2 linked regions of the Neodiprion lecontei genome follow. The protein of the gene in region 1 binds, or shares a complex with, the protein of each later gene. Links are inferred from orthologs where the notes say so. Each region holds a gene or a part of one and is shown on either strand. Other genes may lie near its edges. The genes, in order: COP9 signalosome complex subunit 7b and COP9 signalosome complex subunit 8.

Region 1 (5,680 bases):
TAGCATAATCGTGCATTTGTCAAAACATTCAAGACAAATTGTTTTTAGTATATGTTCTACCACCACATTCGATTACACAACGTATGCAAACCGCAAAGTTAATTTTAATGCACCATGTACTAGGGTTCACCGGTTTTACTGGGCAAAGATAAGATAATATAATTAAATAATTTTCAGCAAAAGCTTATAACTTTATGAAAGTGTATTGTTGAATGATTCAAACGCTGTATATTTTCAATTGAACGTTAACAGAACTGGACAAGTAATGTAATGCAGAAACAACTTTTAAAGATAACAACAGGATATCCTGTATAAATATTCACAGGTCATAAAATGGGTTGAATAGTACCTCAGAGCTTTTTTACAATACATCAGTTAGGTTTGATTCAAAACAGAGAGAACGTGTTTTATTACAAGGTTGAAGTTAGTAACGTTATTGTAACGAAACATTGGGGAAGAAATCAGTATTTTCTTAATTTTACAATGATTTTTCAGGAACTAAAAATTCGAAATACGAGCGTGTTTTGTTTTATTACCGTTTACTGAATTTCAGACAATTCCAAAACCATGAAATAATGGTTTTTTGTCAGCATGAATCGTTATGATAACATTACCAACTTCAATACGATGTTTTATTCTCAAATGCTTAATAAAGGATAAAAGGAAGTTTTAATTCGACAAAATGGACAATCGAATCCGCACTTGCGTACCTTTTCTAATTTTTGTTCTAGCTGCTCTACATTGCTTTCTTCTTCCTCGATGCGTGATCTGGAACAAATAACATAGCAACAACCTGACAATTTTTTCAAACATTCGTTTGGAGGGAGGGGAGGATAAAATTGTATCGACAACAGATTAGCCGTTTTCTACATAGGTGTAAAAGGTAGTGGGTTTGTTTGTTTTATTCATTCTCATTAACAATGGATGAGCGATTCTTCCACATTGAGTGTCGAAATAAATTTCAGAAGCGATAACACAGCGTAAATACGTCGCAGAGACAAAGGATATTTTGTCTAAGGTAACGCGTAGACAGAAACGAGCGAATGTACAAATATAAATTTAGTTTTCGACAAAGAGAGGTTAAGCCGAACATTTTTACGTGCGTGAATACGTAATGCTTTACCTACGGCATACGTATAGATATACATACGTATGTGTGAGAAGGATATTAAATATGTGACGTGCATAAATCCGTGGGTGAATTTCTAAACTGTTTACTATGATGATTATAATACGTTTCTTTCTCTTTCGTTTTCGTTTTGCGAATGAATTACAGGCGACGCATATGGCATATCTGTACACGAAAGTAAAATCTGTCAAGGTTGGGTGTCCACGATTCGCTGTAAAAAGTGATTGTTCTCACCGAAATTTTGGCGTATCCCGTAGGCATTCCTCAAACTCAATTAATTTCGGCATTTTGAAACAGACGAAGAGACACCTCCTGTCACATTCGGATTTATATCCGTGATGTTGATACGTTAATAATATTTCACGAATATGCTGTCACTCTCGCACAACATTTTCATTCAGCTATTTATTTATTTTTCACACAAGCTCGTGGGTAATTACTCGTGAAGAATAGAAAATGAGTGAAAAATAAAATCATGCAGCGTGATACTTGTCAGAGGGAAACCACAGTGCGGACAATCGGTCCCCAATCCCCACTTTTTCGTCAAATAAATAATGGAGTAGACTTGTGAGTCGGCCGCACTCGCTCGGGTCGAGGTACGGAGCACACGTGAAATCTGAATAACGTGAATCAGTCGCCAGAACGACGCGCGGAGAAAACCCGAACAGAGTATGTCGGGAACGGCAGAGGTATTTACACTATTTACGGCCAGGATTAAGAAATTTCCTGTCTTACCGATCGTTGGTAAGAACTCAACAGAAAAATCGCGATCGGTAATAATAACGGACTTGTGGATATTGGAAAAGTAAATAGTCATCGGAGTTTGCGAATTTTTTCATATGAACAAACGCCTAGGATCTCTGTTATTTCCGTTTTTGTTCGTAATTTACGCACATAGAAGCACTTACCATTTCTGTCGGTATGTTAGCTAGCCATGCCGGAACTACAGAATACATACTGACACGAGTTGTTTTCGCCCAGTGTTTTCGCCTTTATTGCCAGTTAACGGCTGTGGGCTTAGTGGTTGTGTTTCAAATGACAAATGAAAATCCGTCAAAGGGGTAAAGCAATACGTGCGCATAAAATCGTTTTTGTAGGCGAGAAACGAGTTGATAAGCGGTGATATTCCTGGGAATTGGCTAGCATAGAATTGCATAAGTGATATTGATTATTTCGTACGTTAATTTGTGTTCGTCGTTAGGCTTGGCGTTCTTCGGGCAGCCGAATTCGAGGTTAGCGTAGTTAGTCTGGTGAGATTGTGACCTCACTGACTCCTTACTTGAATCGAAATGATTTTTCACGATGCCGCAATCGACTTTCGCATTTACCCAATACCATTAATTGTCAGAAATCAATCGAAGATTCCTTTTTTTCAGATTAGCGATGACGGGTGCGAGTGTAACTGAAAAAACATCCACCAACAACCCCTTGGAGCAGTTTGTCCTTCTGGCTAAAACTGCTAAAGGCGCGGCAGCGGTGGAGCTGATAAAGCAGGCCGTTGAAGCACCTGGAGTAAATGTTTTCGGGGAGCTGCTGGATATGCCGAACATAAAAGAATTGGAGAACGGACCGTACGCCGAGTATTGGAACACATTGAACCTCTTCGCCTATGGCACGTACAAGCAGTACTTGGCGAACAAAGATAAACTGTTCCACCTCACACCCGTTCAGAAAAAGAAGCTCCAGCATTTGACGATAGTCACGCTAGCCACGAAATCAAAGTGCATACCTTACTCCGTTCTGCTAGAAGAGCTTGACTTGAAGAATGTCAGAGACCTGGAGGATCTGATAATCGAGGCTGTTTACGCCGATATTATCCATGGTAAATTGGACCAGAAGAATTCACAGCTAGAAGTTGACTATGCTGGATTAGGTCGGGATGTCAGACCCGGTGATACCGGCGCCGTTGCAGAAATCTTGACTGCCTGGGGTGAGGCCTGCGACACGGTACTGAACTGCATTGAGCAGCAGGTGCTTAGGGCCAACAGTGAAAAACAAAAGGCAACTCAACACCAAGAAAAACTTAAGCAGGAGGTAAGTCAATTGGCACAATCCCTTAAGCCAAACCTGCTCGTGTATTTGGAATTCCAGCACTAGCACGTTTATTCACTCATTTCACAAGTCCCGCCTTTCTCAGCTTTTAAGTCTGATCAAAAATCTTCCTCTTGCAGATCCAAGCCGTAAAAAAATCAATCACAGCTCATACAGTACGTGGGGTTGTCCAGGAGGCAGATGTCGCTGGTGGCGGGATCGAATCTGGATCGGGAGGAAGCGAAACGAGCCGAGAAGCCGTGCCTGTTCCACCAGATACTAAAAAGAAACAACAAAAACCAAAAGGTATTCGAGGCAGTGGTAAGTTCTGGAAGACTTAAAGTAAGTAACAAACGGATAAGTGCAGATCTCTTGAGGCCTACTTCTTATCCACGGATCGGTGATACTCTTGATATTTCTACGAAGAAAAAAATGTCATACGTGTAAGTTTCTAATGACTGAAATTAACGAATATTCGTATGCACAGGATGAAGTGATTTCAGGGTGGCCGCTTCTCTGGGAGAATCGAGAACTTTTATCAGGAAACTGTTTTCAAGTCTTGGGATTATGTCATGTTCACATATCGAAAATAAAAAAATACAAATAAGTTGGCTGTGATTTGTAACTATTGTCGTGTACTTTGTTTTGCTGTGGTCAGCAAACATAATTTAATTTGTCGTTTCTTGTTTTCATTGAAATCGTGACTTAACACCTCTGTTTTTTTTTTTTTTTTGGAAAGTTGATGCGTTGTGATCTCCTTGACAGTCAATAACTGAGACTTTTAAAACGATGCCTACACTTTGCGCAACACTGCGGAAAAGAGACAAAGTAATTTTTGAGAAAAAAAAACAATCAAGCGGCCACCCTGAGTGTCGTAAAATAATTGAATAAGTTCTGAAGTAGAATGACCGAGGGATCTGTGTTATTACGTTGTTTAAAGTGTGATGAAAATAATGAAATCAGGGATCTTTAAGAGTATAATAGAACGTAATTGTATTTTACAATGCCAATTATTACGTTGGCTCGGATTTTGCACGTCGATATTTAAGAGACGTAAGTTGTATATATTATTAAATATGTAAAATGAACTGCTGGTTCAGGATTTTCATTATTAAACCGTAGTCACTACTTCACAAGTTACAGAAAAAGCACGACTAATATAATATATATAAATATGGAATCACTATGAGCCATGTTATTATGTTTATACTAAAAAAAGCCGTTGTTAAACGAAGAAATGAAAGAGAAAGTTGAAAATACGGAAAAAGTTTTAACTTTAGTAAGGTTGTTTGCAGTCGTGAATTGGAATGAAATTTTTAAACGATTGATTTTATCTTCAATTTTTGGTATCGCTAGTTACCTAGATTTATAAAGTACATTCATTACTCTCACTTGTTTTACCCCGCGACGTTTTATAAAATTATAGAATATAAAAGTACGAGATTATTCTTCAACATCTTGTGGTTCAGTGATGTTATTAACGTTTCGTCGAACCATTTTTGTTTTTTTGTTTTTTAACTATCTATTAATATATTCGAATGGTGCTAATTAACGGATACATAAATATTTAATTCAAGATATTCAACGAGATAATTTTAATCAACTACGCGATGTATGTAAAACCTGGTGAAAAGTAAAAGTAGAAGTGAATATAAGCAAAACTGAGGGGAAGATGTTGCCAAAATTTGACATAAAATATGCTAATCAGTTTTACTTATTTCGGTTTCTATCCCGCGATGTTTTTCGAGATCGAATCATCAGCCATACATTAAGTATTGCAGAAGGAGATAAACAAAGTATTTAGTAAATAGGAAAACTTGAAAATACGTAATCATAGTAAAATAATATAATATGTATTATAAAAGTCACAGTGTTATGTCAGACAGATATTAAAATCCACTGATTTGTTTCGATTTTAGTTTTATAGACAAGAGCCAGTTACAAGAGGATGCTAATTCGGAAGGATATGTATTACAAAAAAAAAAAAAAAAAAAAATGAAAGAAACAGAAACAGTTCGATATCGATCAAAGAATTTCTATCTCGAGATGTAATCCTTCGCGATACATTTATCATTTGTATCATTAATACCAAATGCTGCATAAACATAATTATTAAATTACAACATTAGTTACTATTTCCATATACTGATATATATCATTTTGTTACTTACCGAATGAATGGATAATATTATATGATTTTCCATTTTATAAAAAAAAGAAAAACCATAAAATATGTACCTTTTAGTATACAACAAAACATATGTTCATATAAAAATAACACAGTGCATGCTGAAATCTTTGCAAAATGAATGATGTAAATCCAGTTGTGTTGTTTTGTCTTGCAATTGGTTAAAATTCAATTGTTCTTGTTTTCGCGGCGAGGGATTCATCCCTACAATAATGGACAAAAATAACGATAATAAAGAAATAATTGTAGTAATTCTATACCGCAATAATTCAGGGTATACAATATTATACCTATGTATATGTATGTATGCTTATACAATTTCTTTATATATT
Region 2 (5,626 bases), on another chromosome or scaffold:
TTGTTACCTAAACGTTTACAGAGAACATTTTCTAATTTATTTGAAGAAAAATTTTGTATAATATTTAGATTGATATGCAAACTTACTTAGTGCGTAGATAGAATATCTTTTATAGAGACCAGGACATCCTTTCTACTTATGCAAACCCCTGCATCTTGCCTATTCTATGTATAATATCTGGATGAGTGCGTAACGCTAAACCAAGAAATATACGCGGAAGTAATATTTTGTTCTCTACGTAATTTATAAAAATATCTCTCGTGCATAGTACGAAATTTTTCATCCGAAAAGCACTTTATTTCTTGACACGATCTATATTGATTCAAAATTTGTAGCATGCGATTTTTCCGAATTTTGATTTTTTGTAGAATAAGCTTAGTTTTTTCCCGTTCCGTCGAACCACCGTTCATTTTTTCTGACCAATTAAAAGATTCCCTGAGCTTTCTCTGATTTCCAGGCCTTCCATCAAGAGTAGCCACCATGAGCCTTGTTGTTCACAAAAAAATTAGGAAGAAAGTAATAGAAAAACCGGGTGTATGAAATATGATGAGGTAGATTCTCTTCACTAGTAATAATAGCAGTAATAATAATATCATGAATAATTATACATTTTATATGACAAGAGATCATTAAATTACGATATAGAAGTATTTTAAATGCGATTCATGTATCGCAAACGGACTTGGAGATATTTTAATTTTCCAGGAACGAAACAAACTGCGTAAGCTTGTGGAGCTGGTCCTCAGTGAGGCTGTTTTGGCCAAGATGATAGTCCTTATCTATTCTCTTCGGCTGTACCATGTCACCCTCGATTTTCCATTCCCTCTCGGTAGCAAGAGTTTGCGCTTCTGGCGCCGACAGTCCCGTCATGCTGGCCAACGTGATCAGCGTCAACGAGGAATATGCCTCTGATATCAATATTACCGCGCGTTCTCGAACATTTTCTAAAACAAAATAATTTCAATACTGTTTTTCCTCAAGTTTCACATTTCCAAGTGAGTTTTCCCATTTCCTATAGATTAAAATCTATCAAAATCAATTTAAAAGGAAGTAGCCGAAATTCTAGGCTATTATCCCATTCTCAGTTCTGTCCTAAATCCTTTCAATCTTTCCATTTGAACAACAGAGTTTTTAACGATTCGCGGTACATTTTTTTTACTGAAGTGTGTTGTCGGAAAATCTGACACTTTATAAAGTTGAAAAAAAAACAAAAAAAAATTAATTGTGAAGTCCCAAGAATCCCGATATTTAAATGAAATAATGCAAAAGATATGAACAGAACTTAGAATTGAGGTATGAGCCTGGAGTGGTAGCTAAATATTTTGGAATCTATTTTGATACTTTTAACTCATGAGAATACCACCCTGATATTTTTACTTGCTTTCTTTATACAAAATTCATACATTTAGTATTCAAACCATGAATCTATTTATGTATCAGAGGCTATTCTGGTCTAGAGGTCTGGATTTCAGGCGTTTTTTTGGGCTTGATATAAAAAAAATTTATATTTTCACCATCCATTTCTTCACAGAGGTATTATTAGTGTTTAAAGAACTTGTTCTTAAATTTTTTTAAAAACGTTATGGGCCTCTAAATAGGGCCGTGATAAAAAAAACGGTGAGGTGGATGACACGATTCCAGTGCTCCCATTCATCTAGAACGGAAAAACAGCGAGATTTCTTGATGAGTGAAAATGTCACTATAGCCGGAACCAAGAAAAGGAAAAAATATTACAAAACGGTGACTGTTTGAAAACAGAATTAATTATGTTCCTTGTGTTTTTCGATGTTTTTCACTTTTTTTAAATAGTGATAACAATAATTTCGCAATCCCTATGGTATAGGCTATAGAAGAATGTATACTGAAGATTCATACCAAATTTTAAGTCAACCGGTTGGATAGAACTCGAGATTTTATGTCCACAAGGTTGAAATATGGAGTTTTCAGATAAACATATTTAAAGTTAATGCGTTTAAAGTTTTGATCTCTGTTTTGACGCTTACTTCTGTATCAGCTGAAATGGGAATTTTTCTAACCGTTGATCGGCGACTCGTGAGGCATGTACGAAGCCTTTAGTCACATTCGCAGCTTCCTTACAGGCAAATTTTTCTAGCCTTCAAGCCAATAAATCTATTGAGGCGCACACTGAGCGGTCGTACACTGTTTCACTCAAATGCTCATAACTTTCTCAATTTTTGGAAGTTCGATATGGGCTTTGGTCAAAATATTCTTAAAAGAGGTAGCTATAATATGCAAAAAAAAAAATTGATCGATTTTGCCAAATTTTTGGACCAGCATAGGGGGGTATTAGCAAGGGGGGGCTTTGATATTGAATTTTCTCATCATTAGATTAAACAACCTTTGAGAGCATTCATTATGCTGTTTATGTCTTCGCTCCATTCAGTGCTCAGAGCTGCATGTACTGCAGGCCAGTCTCGCTGCCACATTCGCTGCCCGACTAACCAGACCTGCTGAAGTTCATTGCTGTTTGCCTTGACGTTGGCCGGTATCCGTTTCCACAAATATTTAGCATTGCATCTAATAAACAGAAGATACAAGGTGTAGTAAGTACATCTACTATATTTTTTTCCCTTCGTTATCTCGTCTCTGTATGGCTTACATGTCATTTTGGTATAGGTAAACCGCCAGTAGCTGGGTATAAGTCTGTGGTGTTGCGCCTCCATTAGGTGCCTGAAACGAAATAAGACAAACTTTTTGATTACAGATATAGCAGAGAATTCGTAAAAATTTGATCGCTATTCGTTTTCATGTAAAATTATTATTTTCAGATTTTGAAAGTTTGTAGGTTAAGAATTGCGTTTTATTTTAGAAACAAAAATAAAAAATGTATTGTACTAGGTTAGATCGTAGTATTTAATTCATTTCGCAATTCGTTGCAATTGAGGTGTAATTTTCAACGCTTGTAAGAATTTTTTTTTAAATTGTATGTGTAGTTAAGATTAACTTAGGTTTCGAAGATTTTCACCGGCTAACCTCAAGTTCTGCCTTCTCGAGCTCATCAAGTAACTTCTCAACCTCCTTCAAGACCATATTGAGCCTCCACTACGTCTCCGTGAACTTTTTGACTGTTACAAGTTTTCGCAAGGATGATGTTGTCCAGTTCAATTTTTTATTTGACAGTTTGCAACTTCCTTGAATATACCGTCCTTCGTGTTCGTATAGCTGTGTCTCTTTCTCACTCGAGCTCTGACACTATTGCCAACTCAAAATCCGGGCATGTCACTAGGAACAAACGTCACCAGATTTTTTCATAGTGCTTTTTCTTTATTAAAACGCTTTTATAAATGTTGTTAACCTTATTAATTTGTACTTCCACAATTATGAATATAGATGTATTTATATTCATTATTACAGAATAAAATAATATTTTAATCATATAAACTGTTTGGACGTAGAGAATTATCTGTTTTGTCAGTATTGTTCTGATGTGCTTGTAAAGTTTCACTCTTCGAACTTACCTTTTTTGGAAACTCCTATACCTGACAGCATTGCCCTGATATTTTTAAGCTGCATCTTATATCGAGGATCGCGTTGGTTGTGTCACAGGATTCTGTTGAAAAGTCTATAATCCCTGAAACGATCAAATGCCGCTCGAATGCACTCACGACAACCAGAACCAACTAATACGAAAAAAAAATTTTAAATATAAGTAATGTCACTGAAAATCACCGCAATGGGTTCCAAATCACCAGATTAGGTACTTGCCACAAGTGAAAAACAATGTCACCGAAAGAGTCATGAAAGGTATTAAATCTGGTGACAAAATCACTGAGCTGGCGACTCTGCCTTTAGAAGTAAACGAATAGTTGGTCTCTCTGCGCATACGCAGTAACGACGAATGACATGGATGTGTGCCTGGCTCAGAATATAAACAAATTCGTGACAGCGAGTTTTAGAATTGGTACTTCATTTGCTTTTTTTTTTTAAATCTGCAGGAATAAGCTTCAGAGTTTTTGCAAAACTCGGGAGTCATAGGTCCTTCAGCACAGAATAGAATTCTTGAAAGTTTTTTTTTGACTATAATCAAGATACCAGGAACTCAGAAAAGAAAAACTAGGACACCTTGCACTGCAACTTGGGATAAATATGATACGGAGAACTATTGTTTTTCGGCTGAACTGTTGGAACTATCAATCACAGTGACTTGAAATTGAATACATGAAAATTTCTTGGCGTAAAATTGCTTCTGATATCAAAAGAATATCTGGGCATTAAAAGTGTCTCAAGAACAGATGCAGATTAAATTAATGCTTTCGTGTGATGCAGTATGTCTATATGTACATACATACTGTGCCCTACGCGGTCGCATGGACATTTTTAAGTTCGCGCCGCCGCCACTAACTTATCAATCGTGGCGTCAGGGGCTCCAGCACGCACATATACATCGGCCTCAAAGCAAAAACTCCTCCCGCTTATGCTGTCTTTCAATGATGACAACAATCCGGAACAATAGTTGATCGGATACGTGCAATGTGCTCATAATCATTCGCCGGGATTCCTACGCGGTCACATGAACACTTCAGTGTCCACGCCTCGAAGAACCAGGCGCCTCTAATATGTATGTATTTGCGCATACTCTTATTCAACTTCAAAATGATGGACTCGCCCTCGTGTCGCTATTGCTTGGATACCGATATCTACTTAATCGTCTCGAGCACTTCTGGTAGTCACCATGTCTAGAACTCGACTGAAAAATCTGAAACCCAGCGCGCTACCCCTGGCTCGCTTCGTTTCTGCCCGATTGTAGCGCCCGACTCCAGTGGCTAATCCAAGAAACTATTGACTGACAATACAGGGTTCGTTACCGTTACTCTTACACACCTCCCACATAATTCAACTCAAATCTCTATGTATAACTACTGCAACAAAAATATTGTTATTTTCTGATTTTAACTAAACATTTCTTCCTCTGTTTTCACGTGAACGTGAACATAAATTTTTATATATATATGTATATATTTTTTTTCTTTTAATAAGGTTGATTTTAATTAGTTGGTGACAAGACCCTTCAAATCGAAGATATACAAGTTATGACTACTATTAATAAACAGATTTAGATCTGAGGAAATGCCACATGTAGTATAATACCCCGCATATTCTCATCCTAACTTGTAGCAGAAACAACAATCATTTCTCATGCAGGCTGTAGTTGTTTTCCTTAGCTCAAATATATGGGCTTCATAACAAAGTTTGAAACATATGTATTGACATATGTAAACGTTTAAACACTTGTAACATGTAAGAGGCCCAGCTGTTATGAACGAAAATAGTAAACTTGACTTCCTCATAGGTATATATGTATCCATAAGTTGCCGTATTATGTATGTATAGTATTTGAGAAAAATTAGGTCATATCTGAACACGGAATAAAGACGAAGCTAGCCCAATTTTAAGGGGGTGCCCTAGATGATTTCGACGTTAACGTATATATCTCTAAATATCGAAGTCCACGTATCTTAGAGGCAAAAAAGAGCTCAACAGCCCCATTCTATGCCCAATTCTGAACAAAAACACTTTAGTACATTTTCATGTGACGTAAAAATAAAGAAATGATATGGATTCTACAAAATTACAACAGTACATTCGTATAATTCATGCTCCTTCT

The links.
Region 2: COP9 signalosome complex subunit 7b (region 1) and COP9 signalosome complex subunit 8 share a complex: the UniProt entries of both Drosophila melanogaster proteins name them as parts of the CSN complex. The link is inferred for Neodiprion lecontei from reciprocal best matches to the Drosophila melanogaster genes CSN7 and CSN8.

The regions. Positions count from the first base shown.
Region 1 is NC_060261.1:43,244,666-43,250,345, forward strand, and holds COP9 signalosome complex subunit 7b, read left to right. Parts: upstream 1-2,035; 5' UTR 2,036-2,050; coding exon 2,051-2,190; exon of another isoform or gene 2,191-2,379; intron 2,380-2,505; coding exon 2,506-3,163; intron 3,164-3,300; coding exon 3,301-3,501; 3' UTR 3,502-5,073; downstream 5,074-5,680. Other genes in the region: arf-GAP with coiled-coil, ANK repeat and PH domain-containing protein 2, read right to left, coding at 711-768, 1,364-1,416. UniProt on the Drosophila melanogaster protein: Component of the COP9 signalosome complex (CSN), a complex involved in various cellular and developmental processes.
Region 2 is NC_060264.1:22,050,560-22,056,185, forward strand, and holds COP9 signalosome complex subunit 8, read right to left. Parts: upstream 3,638-5,626; 5' UTR 3,480-3,637; intron 3,244-3,479; 5' UTR 3,052-3,243; coding exon 2,995-3,051; intron 2,692-2,994; coding exon 2,621-2,691; intron 2,539-2,620; coding exon 2,360-2,538; intron 945-2,359; coding exon 694-944; 3' UTR 536-693; downstream 1-535. UniProt on the Drosophila melanogaster protein: Probable component of the COP9 signalosome complex (CSN), a complex involved in various cellular and developmental processes.